2 linked regions of the Yarrowia lipolytica genome follow. The protein of the gene in region 1 interacts with the protein of each later gene in a biochemical or structural test. Links are inferred from orthologs where the notes say so. Each region holds a gene or a part of one and is shown on either strand. Other genes may lie near its edges. The genes, in order: YALI1_C25576g and YALI1_B19336g.

The links.
Region 2: the proteins of YALI1_C25576g (region 1) and YALI1_B19336g form a complex in vitro, tested with the Saccharomyces cerevisiae proteins (2 studies listed by BioGRID). The link is inferred for Yarrowia lipolytica from reciprocal best matches to the Saccharomyces cerevisiae genes CIA1 and CIA2.

Annotation. Positions count from the first base shown.
Region 1 is NC_090772.1:2,556,044-2,559,492, reverse strand, and holds YALI1_C25576g (uncharacterized protein), read left to right. Parts: upstream 1-1,839; coding exon 1,840-2,838; downstream 2,839-3,449. Other genes in the region: YALI1_C25581g (uncharacterized protein), read right to left, coding at 1-1,320; YALI1_C25560g (uncharacterized protein), read left to right, coding at 3,397-3,449. UniProt on the Saccharomyces cerevisiae protein: Essential component of the cytosolic iron-sulfur (Fe/S) protein assembly machinery. Required for the maturation of extramitochondrial Fe/S proteins.
Region 2 is NC_090771.1:1,932,400-1,935,804, reverse strand, and holds YALI1_B19336g (uncharacterized protein), read left to right. Parts: upstream 1-2,154; coding exon 2,155-2,733; downstream 2,734-3,405. Other genes in the region: YALI1_B19388g (uncharacterized protein), read left to right, coding at 1-37; YALI1_B19348g (uncharacterized protein), read right to left, coding at 126-788, 849-950; YALI1_B19326g (uncharacterized protein), read left to right, coding at 2,849-3,050, 3,152-3,276. UniProt on the Saccharomyces cerevisiae protein: May play a role in chromosome segregation through establishment of sister chromatid cohesion.

The sequences.
Region 1 (3,449 bases):
ACCGTCAGGGCCACAAACGTATGCATAGACAGGTCCCTGGCGGTTCTTGTCCTTCTTCTGGGCCGCTGCCTGCTCCAGAGCGTTGTTGTAGTCGGTGGTATCAGTGTTGGGCTTGATGTTCAAAGGAGCAGGTTGGGGAATGTCCTTACTCGAGATGAACTTGTTTTCCTTGTCCACGTACATGAAGAGTCGGATTCGACCGAGCTTTTGCAGAAAGTAGAGAAGACGTTCAAAGGGGACCTCATCACGGGTTCGCACAGAGTAGTGAATGTCGACGCAGCCTCGAGGAGGATTGGTAGACAAAAGGGCCTGCAAAACAGAGGCGATTCCGGTTCCTCCAGCAAAGAAGACCAGGTTGTCGGGTTTGGGAACGTCCAGGTACTTCCAGTCAGCCGGGATTCGACTGGGCATATCCTCCATGGGAGCTCTGGGAGGCTTAACGTCAGCAGGAATTTCCGGAATGACAGCATCAATAAATGGACCTCGAATGTCCACATCGGTGCCAATTGGCAGGGATTGGATCCACTTTGCGACTTCTCCGTTCTCGTACTTCTTGATGATCATGCAAAAGCCATTGTAGTCGGTATCCCAACTGATGATCTTGACCAAAGGATCCTTTCCATCAACATCCTGCATCATGTAAACGGGTAGAGGAGTGTAGGATCGTACAACCTGCACGTCAGGCTGTCTAATGTGAACAGAAAACATTCTGTGACCATCCCAGTACTCTGCATACTTGGGCTGGAGCATGGATCGTTCCGGTCCCTTAAATTCAATCAGCTCCACGTCGTCGCTGATCTTCATCTTCTTGACAATCTTGTACTTGACAAAGGCGTTGTTTGCCAGAGTAGTCTCTCCTCCCTCGTTACCTCCTCGTCCAGTAACCATGTAAGCACACCAAATGATCCACAGAATGACCGCGAGGGCAAACAGTTTGGGTCCATGGCCGTCTAGGGCCTTCCATTTCAGCATATGGGGCCGTCGCACGTCAGTTTTAGGCATCTCAAACGACTCTCGGACCCACTCTTTGGCGGGGACGTAGCCGTTTTTCTTCGCCAAAGCCTCGGCCTTGGGATCAGGGATGTGGGGGAGCTGATCAAACGTGGTGTCTTTCTTTACCATCTCGTTGGACTGCTCCTTGTCGTTTTCGGGCTTGTTTTCAGCATCCTTCTTGGGGTGGTCGTTGTGAGCATCTTTCTGGAACAGATGTCGTCCAGTTGTGAAGGGAGACACCGGCCGAAACAGAAGCTGGGGTCTTTGGATCGGCTTCAGTAGCACAGGCCGGCTGGCCCGGAGTCCAATTAGTCCTATGCGGAACATTTGTGTGAGTTGCGGAGTCTGTGGAGTTTTTCAGATGCTGCAGTTTCGTTTCTACCGTGCGTTGATTAAGTTTACCAAATGTGAACTTTAGAGGACAGAAGTTAGACGACGGTGATAAAACGGGAGTTCTAGAGGCTAGATATTTGACAAAGTCGTTGAAATTATGTGTTTATTCGGTAATTTCATAAAGCTCTTGTTGACTTCTTTTCATTTTTTCATATTTTTCCCCGATTTTTGACGCATTTACAGAATGTTGTTCAGCCTTTATTTCACTTTTTTCCCTGAACATGATACACCACTCCCTACGAAAGGCGACGAAGAAGTGCAAGAGAAAACGAAAATAGTTTCAAAATATATACCGCGGAAAATCCAGTTGAACCAATATTCAAACACCCTCCGATCTCAGGCTCTTGACGGTCTCGACTGTCCTCACTGCCAGGTCTCGACGCCATCAGTTTAACTTTCTAGTGCAAGCCTGCAGGCTATTACTCACTACCATCATCTTGACATCACCACCAAATGCAGCTGATCAAGGCACTGAAAGGACACACGGACCGGGCGTGGGCAGCGTCCGTCCACCCCAACCTGCCTCTTCTGGCCACGTGCTCGGGCGACAAAACTGTGCGAATCTACAACACAAACAACTGGGAGCTGGTGACGACCATCACCGAGGGCCACAACCGATCTGTGCGCTCAGTGGCCTGGAAGCCCAGCGGCTCGTCCCCGTCGCTGGCGCTCGGAAGCTTCGACTCCACAGTCAGCATCTGGGGCAAAGAGGACGACGAGTGGCAGTTTTTGGCGGCTATTGAGGGCCACGAAAACGAGGTCAAGGGAGTCAGCTGGTCATGTGACGGCCAGCTGCTCGCCACATGTTCCCGAGACAAGAGTATATGGGTGTGGGAGGCTGACGACATGAATGACGAGTTCGAGTGTATATCTGTGCTGCAGGACCACACTCAAGACGTGAAGCATGTCGCCTGGCACCCTTCAGAGATGGTGTTTGCCAGTGCCAGTTACGACGATACCGTGCGGCTATGGCGCGAGGACGACGACGATTGGATCTGTGTTGCCGACCTCGGAGGACATGAGTCCACTGTTTGGGGGTGTGCTTTTGAGCCCTCTGAGGGTTCTGATCTCAGACTAGTCAGCTGTTCGGACGACAAAACATGCATTGTGTGGAAAAAGGAGGGACAGGTTGGAGGTACAGGTGACCACTCCGGCATCCGACCTGCTTTCCGGGCTGATCCTCTCTCTGAGGAGTGGATTCAGCAGGCTACTCTGCCTGAAGCACACACTCGAGCCATCTACTCTGTTGCATGGAACAAGAACGGACGAATCGCCTCCACCGGTGCCGACGGTAAGCTTGTGGTCTACAAGGAGAACGGTCCTGGCCAGTGGGTGGTTGAGTCTGAGGTCGAGAACGCTCATGGTGTCTATGAAGTGAACGATGTCGTTTGGTTGGACGACAAGTTGGTTACTTCTGGCGATGACGGAGTTGTGAATATCTGGGAGGTTTGATCGGAATATATTTACATGGAGATGATTTCTGTTGTTTTTTCGTTCATTTTCTAGTTTTCTCCGATTTTTTTTCTGACTTTCTCAAAGCCGGTTGCAAATTTGTCTAAACACGGCATATCGAAGGAAGCACTCCCTACAAATCAAGTCTGGTTTTAACTTTTTAGTGCGAGTTCAACACGCAACAATAGAACACCTCATTTCAAAGGTTATTCTTTCACGGCAAAGTTATAATTAAATGAATGTATATGCAGAAAAAAAAAAACTAAGGGCGGGCTAGAACAGAAACCGTTGTGCGGCCAAAACACGGACATAGTCCGTTTTGTTCCATAGATTCACGTGACATGTAATGAAATGGCTTGGTTATTCAGTGTACAGTGCATTTATCACTCTTTTTGCGCGGTCTGCAATCTCCTTCGAATCTGAATCTCCTTCGAATCTAAATCTCCTACGTCATACACGTTTTAAGGTTACCAATAGTGCATAACCACACACATGTATCATCACCTCGACAACGAGACTTGACTATATAACACGACAACTTCCTACACAGCAACCAGCATGAGCCAAAGACCGACGGGGCTTAAGATCGACATGCCGGAGTCATTTTCCGA
Region 2 (3,405 bases), on another chromosome or scaffold:
CAAGTCTGCCAAGAAGAGCAAGAAGGGCAAGAAATAAACTAATGACATATAAAAACTGATAGATTTATTACAATGTATGTACAATTAATTAAGTAGAGTCACGATTATAAATATGTGCATGGTCTTTACTCAAGATCGTAATAGTCCAGAATGACATCAAACACCCAATCAAGAGTCTCGGCCACGTCGAAATCGGTGGTGGGCACGATTCGGATTCCTTCTCTGGTGGCGTCCTTACTGGGTTCTCCGTTGGGATTTTCGTTTTCAAACAGCTGTTTGTGGGTCTTTAGGTAACCGGGCCAAACAATGTTGTGGAAGTATCCCTCAGGATCCTTCCAAAACCCTTCCAGAGTGACGTATCCGGATCGAGCTTCTCGTCGAGACTTGAGGTTTTCGTAACTGGATCTGACCAGAATCTTGATATCGAACAACTCGGTGAATTGAGCGTCATGGTAGACCATGATACCATCCAGAATGACAATCAGCTTGTTCTCAAACTCAGGCATGTAAGGGTGCATTCGACGCTTAAAGGCGTCGACAGCGTTTTCATCAAGAGCAGCGGGTCCCAGGGAGTTCTGGTCCTCCTTCGATTTGAAATTTTTGGGCAGCTCTCCAGTCTGCTTGACATGGCTCAAAACCTTGGACAGTAGCTTGAAATCAAAAGCCTCGGGACAATCCCAATCTTGAACTCCATCAATAACTGGGATCTGCGAGTCCTCCAGGTAAAAGTCGTCTTGGTGGATGATGATGACGTGGGGAAGAATGTCTCGAAGCAGACGAGCTAGAGTCTGAAGTTAGTGCCAGTTCTGTAACGGGGACTGCACCTCGTGCAAACGATTCATACTCACACTCTTTCCACTGGACGAGGGGCCACTGAGTGCCACCAAAGTGACCTCGCGCTTATCCTCCTCCTTGGCCAGTTTTTTCTCAGCTATTTTTCGTCGGATCATGGTGTGATGGTGTCGAAGATGATTACTGCACCTAGCTGCGATAAGCCTTACTGCTTACATGCAGCTTAACAATGTGAGACGAAGGGGGGTCTTTTGGCAATGAGAAACAAACTGATATGAGGGGAAACTAACTGCTCAACTGATAGTGCAATCTGGAATAATTTTTGTTCCATCAAAAAGGTTCCAGGTTTACATGGCTTTGCGTGCAGTCGGAGAGGTATATGTTTACCCATGATATTTCTTGGGGCACGTACAGTAATACTATAGTTACACAGCAAGATGATCTTGTACGGTATGTACTTGGTTGAACCAACACTGACTGAGACAAACGACAGACTAAAACAGCCGTGGAGTTATGCCCCCTAATTTGATTAGCCAGTTTTAATGCTTTGATGGCTGGTTCTCAAGGCAACTAACTAAATAGTTGCTAATGACATTAGTACGAGTATTGTAGCGACTTACTTGTACATGCTGTACTCACCTTCAACAAGAGATGTCAATGACTATTGTCGTACTCGTAGAAGCACAACACAGTATGTACAAGCAAGACATTTTGTGCGACGCTACAAGTACAACTACAAGTAGACGAACATGCACTGGTGTGTACGAGTACAGTACCAGCAGAAGAAGGATAAGTCGTACTCGTGGGGAACAGTGAGTGCCGAAAATAACCAAACTACGTCATATTGTTCCACTTCATTGCCACACTGTCCCAGAACCCCGCGGATTCACCTGCCCGCTACCTCACCTTGCACTTGCACTTTTTTTACTGTGCCCCGCATGCGCCATACAAAGAAAACAAAGCTGGCGGTCACATAGCTACGCTCACAGTTTTGGCTGTAGCCGAGAGCCACAAACAGACGGCAAGTTCCTGAAAACTCGCCGGTGTAACGGTCTGTTCACACTCAACATCCTCTATTGGTTTTTTGGCCCCTTTTAACGATGTTTCAAAACGTCTGGAATGTCTTTCGGCGCTTTTGGCCTTGTAGTCTTGCCCCACTATACCGCTCCTCACCCCTGGACCATAAACAAGACTAGAGACAATGGTAGAAACATGAACCCCTACCCTGATTGAGAGACACTACCCAGTGTTTAAACCTTATTCGTCAGGCATGCAGAAACTACAGTAATACTCCCAACACCACTGCACATCAGAGAGAATAATTGCTGTAAGTGAGAAGCAATACACGAGACAACTACCATAATGTCCGATCCCATTAACGCCAACCCCGAGGTTATCGACGTGTCAGCCCTGCCCACACGGAACAAAGGCCAGTCGCAGCTCGATCTGCCTCTTGGAGCCTTTCTAGACACACATCCCACACCCCTGTCTCTGATTCAGAACGAGTCCGCCAGCGGATCCGACGACGATGATGACGATGACGAGCCTGAACCTATCGATTCTCAGGAGATTTACGACCTCATCGCCACCATCTCCGATCCCGAGCATCCCCTGACTCTCGGTCAGTTGGCTGTTGTCAAACTGGAAGATATCTGGGTTCACGACACTGGAGACAAGAACAAGATGGCCGAGATTGTGGTCAAAATCACCCCCACCATTACCCACTGTTCTCTGGCCACCCTGATTGGACTTGGAATCCGGGTGCGACTCGAGCGAGCTCTTCCTCCTCGGTTCCGGTTCACTATCACTGTCAAGGAAGGTACCCACCAGAGTGAGAATCAGGTCAACAAGCAGCTTAACGACAAGGAGCGGGTGGCTGCAGCATGCGAAAACGAACAGCTGCTTGGTGTGATTTCAGGTATGCTAGCCACTTGCCAATAAAGAGCGATTTTGGACAAATGCGTCGAAATTACGATAACCCTGGTACGTACAGGCACTCCATAAACCTTTTTTTGCTTTTTTCACAGGATACGAGCGATCGACCCGACATGTGGATATGTGCACTTGCCACACCCAAAACACGTCGATTGGCTTGTTCCACGGCATTTGTTGGGTCAGGGGTGGGTTGATTTTAGTGATCGCCGCTACAAATACGAAAGAGCTGGATGATCATCTGGCGATATTTACACAACAACAATGCAACAAAAGAATGAATCCACAAAATCGGACATTAAGCTCGTTGACTAACAGGTTTCTTTGTTAGGTCATCATAAAACAAAAAGCTGGTGTTCAACCAAACCCACCCCGCAGTGTCTTGAACCAACGGTGTGAAGAGACACTCCCCTCCCCCGCACCCAAGCAGCCAGCTTTTCTCCCATTCAGCACAGAGTTACTTTACGCCCTCCCCACACTCTTTTTTATTGCAGTTTGAATGCCTTCCAAGCTGAGACAACAGGGGAAGTTAACTCTAGGGGACCCCGCTAAATCGAATCTAAAGTGTGCATTTCTTATACGTTTAAAACATTCAATGTAGGCATGCCCGCGGAAACCGACTCTGAGTCAAGTGTCTTATAAATATAACGTAGCTGGCAAACCCTTGAACAACTTCTCGCA